Arabidopsis thaliana: one gene and its partners. The protein of the gene in region 3 purifies or fractionates together with the protein of the main gene of each other region. This does not show direct contact. Each region holds a gene or a part of one and is shown on either strand. Other genes may lie near its edges.

Region 1 (3,636 bases), on a different chromosome or scaffold from region 3:
TTGTTAACTCTAACGACACAATCATGTTATATATAAAATATATATAGAGCGAGTGTCAGTTCTTGAACTCACTCTCACAATTCTCCGACACAATCTCAACCTTCTTCGCATCTAATAGTCCCTTAACCTTAACATCACAAGTCACCACCACTTCCTTGTTCCGTTTGACCGGCCCTGCTTCATACTCAGCCTTCAGCTCCATATTCAGCATCAGAACAACCGGTTGCTTCGATCCACGAGGTTGTACAACTGCGTTCTTGGTCGACCCATTAAGCTTCACATTGACCTTGTCGGATCCAGATGCGGCCTGGGACAACCCCGGAAATTTCCCGCTCCCCAGGCTCTTATTCTTGTACGTTAAGGAAACGACCCCGTTCTTTTCCATCATGTAGCGTACTCCCATGTTAGACGTTGGATTCTCGGCTCTTAATGTGACCTCAAAATTACTAGGATTTACGGTCAATCTCTCGACCGCGAAAACAGGAAGAGTGGGGTTGAAAGCGAAATGGAGGATGAGAATGATTGCACCGAGTAAGAATCCGAAAATGACCAAGATAATGAAGAACCACAAAAGACGTTTAGAACACCCTTTCTTTTTGTTTTTCTCCGGGTTCTTGCTGCGTTTCTCGACGTATTTTGCATGTTCCGGAGGAGGGGTCCAATAGACTTGATCTCTCGGGACTTGGACAACGTACGTCTCTAACTCAGGGATTGAATCCGGAGGAGGAAGAGGCGGAGAAGATGTCGTTGGGAGTGGAGACAGATTAAGAGAATGATTACGCCAATGGTGTGAACCGTGCGATGGAGGATCTAAAGATGGCAATGCGGGGAGGCTAGAGGTTGGACGGTGCCAAACGGACGGAGGATCATCGGGTTTGTCATCGTCAGAGTCAGGGGCGGTGGCGGAAGGAGGACGCCGTGGCCCCTCCATCGGAGAAAGGTGGGAGTTACGAGATGTGTGGTGGAGATTGGTCTACAGAGAAGACGAAAGAGAGAGAATTAAGAGAGGATGCGAAAATTAGGGTTTGCATGGGAAAAGTAAGTGGTTGTTGTTGCATGACTCAAACTTTTGGTTGGTTTTGAGAAGATTTTGCTATTTAGAGTTAGCCAGCTCACCTTAAATTTCCCTTTTTCTGTTATTTAGAAAACTATATTACAGAACTCATATAATATAGTATTATGGCATTTGATGATGATCAACGAAGTTGTTACTTTTTGTTTACAAGATATCGATTTTCTAACATAAATTATATATGCATATAAGACATACATGAGTAAAATCTTAAAAAGGTTAGCACATATTGGTAATGTTTATCATGAACGAGTCTTATTTTATTTTGTACGTTTCGAACTAAAACCATTTTTGGGTGGTATTTCTGGACCAAATTTTCATTAAAGTGTTTTTTATTTCAATTCTCTTGCAACTTCTGTTTCTTTAGAAAGCGAAAAATGCATATATACGAATATACGTTGGGATTGACATGAACGGAATGTATGTATTTACACACATTAATCCGCAGCAACCGGCCATTCAAAATTATGTTTGTGGGCCTTGTTGCTGCTTCGCTGACAATACTATCCAAAATTTATTTCATTTTTCTTTCTTTGAAAAACACACAATCACTTAATTTTCATTTATAAATCAAACATATGTACATGAAAATATCAAGGAAATTAAAGGAAATCTTACCTTCATATGGTCGAAAGTTTTCTTTCAAAAAGCAAAAACAAAAATTAATGTTTCTCTAATTCTTCCCCGGCCCCAATCCACGTGAAACATGTTATGTTGCGAGCATTACACTGGAAACTGTTACATTACATTCTAATTGGCGAAAAATGAAGTGCATTTGTATTGTATCTCACGAAGATTTGCGTTTGTGACAAAAAAAAATATGCAATTTTTTTCGAAATCTGACAACCCATGCCGACCTGTCCGCCGAGTTAACGACGTGCTTATAGGATCCTTAAGTATTTTTATTCTTATTTCTTACTCATTCCAACGGACCAAAAACGACCACGTCATCTTCATACGCAACTCCCAAAACAGACGATAATTAAATCATTGAAATCTAAACTCTCATATACTTTAGCATTTTCAACATTTCTATTAATATTTCCATAGACTAGATCTCTCTTTCTTATACATCCATATCACCGATGATGCCTCGCCGTGACGTCCTCTTCCTCTCACTCCTCCTCGTCATCGCCACCGTCTCCGCTGTCGCATTAGCCGTAAGTTTTCCAAATCTGACTTGCTTCCTCTCATATATGATTTTGTCTAGAACTAGACACACACATTAACCAGATTTGAATATGTATATAATGACACAACATCAATGACATTAGTTTAAACTATTAGACTACAAACTTCTGTTTCTTCCCATTTAAAAAAATGACTTTCTTGATTTCACAGGACGATGAAGCAGATTGTGTCTACACATTCTTCCTTAGAACCGGATCAACCTTCAAAGCCGGTACAGATTCGATCATAAGCGCTAGAGTCTACGACAAATACGGAGACTACATCGGGATCCGAAACCTAGAAGCATGGGGTGGTTTAATGGGACCAGGTTACAACTACTACGAGAGGGGTAATCTCGACATTTTCAGTGGGAAAGCACCATGTCTTCCGAGCCCAGTCTGTTCATTAAATCTGACCTCTGACGGCTCCGGTGACCACCACGGTTGGTATGTTAACTACGTGGAAGTCACGACAGCCGGAGTTCATGCAAAGTGCTCGTACCAAAGCTTTGATGTTGAGCAATGGCTTGCGTCCGATACATCGCCGTATGAGCTCAGTGCTGTTCGGAATAACTGTCCAGTTTCGCTTAGGGAAAGTGTCGGTCGGGTCGGGTCTGAGATCCGGAAGACTCTCTCTTGGATCGTGTGAGAGTAGTGAATGAAATGTCAAATGTGTATGTGTGTGTGTAACTTGGAGAGTTGTTCTTTGTTGTCTTGTGAACGTGTGATGGCAATAATGAAAATGATTCGATCGAATAAAAGTTCCGTTCTTTGTTGTTTGTGAGATTTTTATCAAACATTATTAAGTTTTTCGTGTGATGAAATTAAAAGATAATTACTGATCATATTAAAAAGAAAAAAAGATAATTACTGGTTGATATAGTTTCTTTGTTTCGTTTTATTTTCACAAATAAACGTTCAAAGCTACAACCTTATGATTAATCAAAACTTTGCCAAATAGTATAAAAGATGGGCCCTTTTCACATTTTTCGATGTAATTTTAAACATTTAATACAGAGTGGATCTTCACAATTTTAATCATTTTTGTGCATGTTCAAAAAGTCAACAAGAAACTTACAATTTTGTAAGAAACATCAACGACATTAATTGGTATTGGCCTAAACCTCCTAATTAAGTGACATTTGGTTGAAACGGAACATTTCTTTGGGTCATACTAATAACTGAAAACCATTATCAAATGAATGACTTTAAAATTCCTCCTAAGGCACCATATAAATCTCACTATGCTCCTAATCGTCTTTTAAATCTATAAAAGAAGGTGTGAGCAATAAGTTCCTCAATGAAAATTGAAAAAGATCATCCCTGCACACATAATCTATAGAACCACAAAGCAATATACAAGCTAGACATAAAATAAATAGACAATATGCCTTT
Region 2 (3,630 bases), on a different chromosome or scaffold from region 3:
GTTAAAGTAGTTTGGTGGTATTAGAGAGTTGTTGTTGTTATGGTCGAAATGGAGGAGGTTGCGATGGTTTTGTTGCGGCGTGGGTATAGATGACACGTGGTTGTTGTGGTGGTCGAAGAAGGCGGAAATGGATTGATCTGCGGCGCGTGAATCGTATTCTTCTTCTCCTCCTCCGCCACCGCCGCTTGAAGATTGCATGCTACTACTATTACCGGACTCCATCTCGTGACAAAGAAAAAAAGACTTTGACGAGAGAAAACGTAAGAAATTGATTTAGAGGTGAGAATGGATACTTGAGTTTAGGGAGCTATTGTTTGTTTAAGGAGTTTATGAGATAGGGTATCATGGTAAATAAGACATTTGGTGTGACATGATTTTTTAATAATTTTGTTTTGTTTTTGTGTGAAAGGGAGAAAAACAGGGAAGGTGAAATCGCATTAAGTGGTTCCACTACCACCATCCACTATTGTCTACTCTATATCCCAATATTATATACATGTATCTAAGGTTTAGTTTATATTAGATTTATTCCTTTTGGTGATAGTCAAAATTCACTTTGATTGTAGATATTTGGTTCGGCTAATGCTTTGTTTTGTTTCTCTACCACTGCAGGATGTTACGTTTACAAATCTTATGATGGTATTACTTTTACTTTTCCTGATAAATGGTACTTACTTTTCTTCGTGATTTGTGCGTATATTCATATCAAAATCAATTATGCGATAAAAATGTTAGAACAAGTTTTAATTTTCCGTGTGCACAAACAATCATTTAACTTCCTCTCGTTATTCTCTAAAGATATAGAATAATTTGAATAATCTACTAATCTCTTACATGATGACATAATTAGGTCAGTTAATTCGGACCAAATTCAATAATATATATCATAATTATTAGATGTCATCATATAGCTAGTTCCACCAAGATAAGTTTTTTAGCTGATTAATCTTTCTTTTCAATTGAATAATTTCGAAATCACCAATTTAAAAGATGCAACAAAGATATGTACATACTCATTTCTACTTATTTCACCCGATTAATTTGCAAGTGGAAATTAATGGTTTGAGTGTATATTTTGATAGAGATACTAGGTTTGGTCGGAAAATAAGAATCAATCATATAATATACTATTAATTATCAAGGAAAATTCAAAATTTATGGGCCCATTAACCAAAATGCCATAACCCTATTATCACTTTACCCATACGGCTTAGTTTTGTTTGGTTACCCACACTCATTTATAATTGTGTTTTTTTCGTTTTTTTTCTAAATATCAAAATTTCAGTTGACTTGTAAATTCGTATGAAATTGATTATCATTGCATTGCAAATAAGAAAAAGAAACATTTAGTAAAACCAACCACTACATTCGATTAACTATTATCACTATTAAATGTTTTGTTAGTGTTTGATAAAAAAAAAATTGCCGTGTTAGTAAAATTTTTTACGGGTGATCAATGATCATCATATAATTAACCAAAATAATGTAAGTCTACATAGTTTTAGTATTGAAGATCACAAGGATATCAAAAACTAAAGAATCATCACTCTCTATAATTTAGTAAGCTATGGGTTTGATCAAATTTCCAGCATGTAGTTTTTTTGCTACGTGTGCATTTTGTTATAACAAGATAAATATATAAATGGGCTTACGCTTCTTCTTTTTTGTGCAACAATGGGCTTACGCTTTATGCCCAATATTTACCTATACCAAGGCTCCATATAATTAGTATTTGTTATTTATAAGCCCACACACTTTTGAGAAGAAGATGTCTAAAAATGAAAATGCTGAGAAGAAGTAACAATTTGTTTTTACAAATATAAATTATACCTGGCCATAAAATAATAAAAATCTGACAGCAAATATATAAGCAAATAAAAATGGGAAGAATTACTTATTCTCAATATAAATTTGAATTATTCTTAATATAGACAAAACCATCAAAAATTTCGTAGTCATTAATAAGGAAAATTTCATACAATCCAGTGGACTATTTTTCTTGGTCCGTAAGCTGCCAGAGAGAGAGAGACTTAAAAGGATAATTTCGTAAATCTACCAACCCATCATATACCGACTCGCCGAGTAATCGCCAAGCCTCTCAAATTATCCATCTCAATTCTCACATCACAACAGATAAGAGTCAGCCACGTCAACATTACACGCTACTCCGAATAACACGTGATTATTACCCCAATTGTTAATTCCCAATAATAACCCTTCCCTCAAATAATATTCGCATCTATTAATACACCTCTGCAGAAAAAAAATCAGAGAAAAAATACAAATCGTTCACCGGAAAAAAACAAAATGGCTCGTCGCGATGTTCTCCTCCCTTTCCTCCTCCTTCTCGCCACCGTCTCCGCCGTAGCTTTCGCCGTAAACTTCCTCAATCTCTAACCACTCTCGATCAGATTTAGATTTTTCGATAATTTGACTTTTTCAGTTTCTGTTTGTTTATCTAGGAAGATGATCCAGACTGTGTATACACATTCTACCTCAGAACCGGATCGATCTGGAAAGCCGGAACCGATTCGATCATCAGCGCAAGAATCTACGATAAGGACGGTGACTACATCGGAATCAAAAACCTTCAAGCTTGGGCTGGATTAATGGGACCTGATTACAATTACTTCGAGAGGGGTAATCTCGACATTTTCAGTGGAAGAGCACCGTGTTTACCTAGTCCGATCTGTGCCTTAAACCTAACCTCCGATGGCTCCGGCGATCACCATGGTTGGTACGTTAATTACGTTGAGATCACGACGGCTGGTGTTCACGCACAGTGCTCGACGCAGGATTTTGAGATTGAGCAATGGCTCGCTACTGATACTTCTCCTTATGAGCTCACCGCCGTACGGAACAATTGTCCGGTCAAGCTTAGGGATAGTGTTAGTCGGGTCGGGTCTGAGATTCGGAAAAAGCTTTCTTGGGTCGTTTAAGTGATGTGTTGTGATTCGTGAGACTTGTCTGTATTGTTTGTATTCTCGTTGTTCTTGTGAGTGTAATGTGGCGTTAATGAAATATGATTCAATAAAATAAAACCTTTTTAGTTATTTTGCGAATTTTAACTCATGATTAGTGAATGATTTAGTAGATTAATCACAGGTTAGTTGAATCATTTGCTTTAGTAGATTAATCACAGGTTATGTAAATGTGAAACCAATCAATGAGAAGACTAGGACATGAAAATTGATTGAATGCATATAGGTGTCGGTATTAATAAGCGGAATAGAAATTTGAGTGGACCAAGTAATAATCCCTTGGGCCAAAAATGACGCCACGTCTGTATTCATTGAGAACTAACTCTTTGATATTTATATGATTTATTGTCCACATTGTATCTACTATACTTTTTGTAGGGTCAAAATCAAATCGTCTCTTGGTAGAGAAATATGGGAACACTCACTTCTTAAAGAATGTGATTTTTTTTTTTTTTTTGTTACGAATTCTATTAATAATATATGGTAGTATATTCTTGGACGTCAATTGGTTTTTGTAACAACATATGATAATTGTATACCTATGGTATGATTTTCTATTACTGTTTTGAAATTTTATTTAAGAAGTTAAATTCCATTTGGAATAACATATTGGGCTTACGACATGGCCGATAATCATATCTTCTCGCCG
Region 3 (3,759 bases):
CAGCGATGGATCCTGTTTTACCAAACGACTCTTTCATAACTCCGGCGTAAGTAGTTGATTCTCCGGCGAGAGTTGATTTCATCAGAAATCCAACGGAAATTGTGGAAAGCCAAGCTATGATCGTGATAATCAAAAACGCTGGAACTATTCCAAGAACTTTAAACGCCGCCGGCATCGACATTATTCCGGCTCCGATTATACTCGTTGACACGTTGAAAACGATGCCGGAGGTTGATGATCCATGGTTCTCAGACGAAGAAGGTTCTTGCTTCGGCAAGAGATGAGTTTTGATCTGTGGTGTCATTTTTCTAACCGCCGGAGAAACGTAAGAATTTGCCGGCGGGAAGAAGCTTTCCTTTTTTGTAGTTGTTATGAGGAATCGGCTTCATATAGCCACACGGTTAATAGCGAAAAGTACATAAATACCCTTTGAAGATTGGGGATATATGCCTTGACCGTTTGGGGCAAAATCGAGAAAATGATATTTGACCATAGGTAAACCTGACAGGCTGGGCAAATCATGTCAGTGAGATCACCAAATGATCTTTCGTCACGTACTTAAAAACATCACGAAAATAATAATTTTGTTCAAGAGAGGAAATTACAGCTAAAATATGATGAACAATCATAATCATATTATAGACAGAAGTGAATTATTAACAAAAAAACCCCAAAGAATTATACAAAAAAATCCAAAATAAAATGGGTCCGTCCAACACTAATGAATGTGTGCACTTGGATTTCTTCACGAAGAATGTATCTAGACGAAAAAGTGGCCAAATGTGTATCATCGCTTCTCATCTCATATAAGTTGTCCAAAAAAGAAAAAAACTCCTAAATAATTTAAAATTTTCGTGGATATAATAAAATCCAATATATAATCATATCATTGGCGGCCTCAAAGATGGCTCACGTGTAATAAACTAACTTTAGAGCAGACGGTTCGAGACTTTTCATCAAGAAAACGAGAGGGCAGCGAATGCGGAATGTCGAATGAATAATTGAAAACGTGATAAACGAAACAATATAAGAATAATTAAACACTGTCTTCTAAAGTTATTTTTATTTAATCATTTCATATGAATCATATTGAAGTTACTCAGTTAACATTATAGAATGTGACTGATAGCAACATTAATATTGCCGCAGAAATCCCTCGTTGCAAAGTTACAGTTTATTTTAGATCATCTCTGTGTGTAAAGGAGAAGCTTCAGTCAACAACAACAGAGCTTGGGTCAAACTCTCTGCTCAGCTCAGAGTCTCCCAAACAGAATGCTATGGGCCAAGACACTAAGCCCAATACCATTCAACATGTCGAGAAGCCCAACAACAGAAGATTACCTCTGCAACTCACAAAAGACAAAAAAATTACCGATTACCCATGAAATGATTTGCTAAAAAATTGAACATTTCATAGATTTGTAACGGTTGTTATTTAGCCATTGTTGTTATTCATGTGTTTGATATTAAAACCGATATTGTTGTTACTCATGTGTTTGATATTAAAACATACTAGGTTTTTACCAGTTTGTGCATTTTGGAACATAGGTTTGTTTAGTGGAAACTGTCAGCAATATTTGTCGTGATTTGAGAACTATAATAATGGCTAATGAAGAATGTAGAAGGACGAGCAGATATAACAGGAAATCGTTTTACTTGATAATTCATGTAAGCTTTTCTTCAATCCCAACTGATAAACCTGATCCCATATTTTCTAAGCTTGGTTAAAGCGACCCAATAACAAAGTACGGAAAAACTTTTGATTGGGCTAACTTGGGCTTTTCAAAACAAAGCCCATATTTTAAATAGACAAATTTGGCCCACTTTAGTCGGTTGAAAAATCTTTTCCCCTATCGAAGCGTGTCTCTGATTTTTCGCTCTCGATCGATTCTCGTCTCTCTCTCTTTCATCGCAGCGAATAATCCAAATCGAAAGCAATTTCTCTCGACGAAGAAAAGAGAAGCAATCGGAGTCTGTGGAGGTAAAGAAGTACACGATCAAATTTCAAGTCAGAGTTTCGGGGAAAAAAAAGGAATGGGGGATCATCTGGTGAGAGCTGAGGAATTCGAGAAGAAAGCTGAGAAAAAGCTCAATGGATGGGGAATATTCGGATCTAAGTACGAGGATGCTGCTGATCTGCTCGAAAAAGCAGCTAATTCCTATAAGCTCGCCAAATCATGTAATTTCCATAAATAAAATTTCTTTGCTTTTGATTATTGTTTCATCGGATTGGTGTCGTGTTTTTTTTTATTGTTGTTCTTTGTGATGATGAGGAAGAAAAAAAAGGTGAAATTTGAAACGTTTGATCTTAGGTTTATCAGTTGCGGTGATTTGTCTATGGTCATGTGAGAAGTAGAATTAGTATCTGGGTTTATATTAGGTCTATTTTGATCTGTAAGAAATTTATGGTTGATAATTTCATACGAAAACATTTTAAATCGGAGATTCATCATTCTGATTCCTTGATATTGGTTTCTGGCCTTCTAGCAAGTCATTGATAAGTGGCACAATTATAGTACCTAATTTGGGTTCTATTTGGCTGAGTTTAATAGGTTTCATGTTCTTTTCTGATATTTGTTTAATTCTCCAACGCTATCTTCTTACTTATGTGTTGCATTTGTGATTGTTCAGGGGATCAAGCTGGAAAAGCTTATCTAAAACTTGCCGACTGTCACTTAAAGGTTAATTCTTTGGCAACACATATATATGATACTGGACTAATGTGTGGATTGTTTGATAACATTGATTTGCATGATTGCATCTGCAGTCAGATAGCAAACATGATGCTGCTAACGCCTATGCTGAGGCTGCTAAATGCTACAAGAAAGTTGACACTAATGGTATGTATAAAGCTACTTTTGTAATTGTCATCTCTGTAATGCAAGAGTGATTATGAATTCTTATGTGTTTTCATGCGTCCTAATATTATATGCAGAGGCTGCGTCTTGCCTAGAGCGAGCGGTGAATATATTTTGTGAGATAGGAAGGCTCAACATGGCTGCAAGATATTACAAGGTACCACTTGTCTCTTTTGAGCATGAATTAGATATTATTCTTTTAGTACGGATACTGAGAAGATAGTTTTATTGGGGCACTTCTTCTGTATTTCCTCCATGGTTCCTGTTTCTTTATGCATGTTCAGTCGGATTCAGATTGTCTTTTTCCTTTTCTAAACTAAAGTAAGCATGGTGCTGACTTGCTGTATTTGGACTAATTTGTACATTAATGGTTTTTTACTTTTGACAGGAAATTGCTGAGTATTATGAATCTGATCAGAAGTTCGAGCAGGCTATTGCTTACTTTGAAAAGGCAGCTGAATTCTTTCAGAATGAAGAAGTGACCACTTCTGCAAACCAGTGCAATCTAAAGGTTGCGCAATATGCCGCCCAGCTGGAGCAGTAAGATTTTCGGCACATTACCTTTCTTTTTGCTTTCTCATCCCTTAGCATTGAAGTGCTTATAGTACTCAGATGGAACCCTGTTAAAATCGAATTGTCAATCCACAAACTTGTCATTGTATGGAATTGTGATGTTCTCTATGCAGTATGCATGAGCACAGCAATTATAGCCTTTTCTCTACTTTGGGACCGATTGATTGATAATAGGCTTGTTGTTGTATCTTTGGTAGGTATGAGAAGGCAATCAAGATTTATGAAGACATAGCACGCCATTCACTCAACAATAACTTGCTCAAGTATGGAGTTAAGGGCCATCTTCTCACTGCTGGCATGTGCCACTTATGCAAAGCCGATGTTGTTT

The links.
Region 1: the proteins of ALPHA-SNAP2 (region 3) and PLAT2 fractionate together in Arabidopsis thaliana (co-fractionation; one large-scale study listed by BioGRID). This does not show direct contact.
Region 2: the proteins of ALPHA-SNAP2 (region 3) and PLAT1 fractionate together in Arabidopsis thaliana (co-fractionation; one large-scale study listed by BioGRID). This does not show direct contact.

What each region holds. Positions count from the first base shown.
Region 1 is NC_003071.7:9,426,264-9,429,899, reverse strand, and holds PLAT2 (Lipase/lipooxygenase, PLAT/LH2 family protein), read left to right. Parts: upstream 1-1,729; 5' UTR 1,730-2,157; coding exon 2,158-2,232; intron 2,233-2,413; coding exon 2,414-2,890; 3' UTR 2,891-3,104; downstream 3,105-3,636. Other genes in the region: AT2G22180 (hydroxyproline-rich glycoprotein family protein), read right to left, coding at 56-931. UniProt on the Arabidopsis thaliana protein: Involved in response to abiotic stress.
Region 2 is NC_003075.7:18,430,643-18,434,272, forward strand, and holds PLAT1 (Lipase/lipooxygenase, PLAT/LH2 family protein), read left to right. Parts: upstream 1-2,016; 5' UTR 2,017-2,307; coding exon 2,308-2,376; intron 2,377-2,462; coding exon 2,463-2,939; 3' UTR 2,940-3,111; downstream 3,112-3,630. Other genes in the region: AT4G39720 (VQ motif-containing protein), read right to left, coding at 1-222. UniProt on the Arabidopsis thaliana protein: Positive regulator of abiotic stress tolerance involved in the regulation of plant growth. May be a downstream target of the abscisic acid (ABA) signaling pathway.
Region 3 is NC_003074.8:20,846,632-20,850,390, reverse strand, and holds the start of ALPHA-SNAP2 (alpha-soluble NSF attachment protein 2), read left to right. Parts: upstream 1-1,695; 5' UTR 1,696-2,034; coding exon 2,035-2,179; intron 2,180-2,631; coding exon 2,632-2,681; intron 2,682-2,767; coding exon 2,768-2,840; intron 2,841-2,935; coding exon 2,936-3,015; intron 3,016-3,246; coding exon 3,247-3,398; intron 3,399-3,628; coding exon 3,629-3,759. Other genes in the region: AT3G56200 (Transmembrane amino acid transporter family protein), read right to left, coding at 1-304.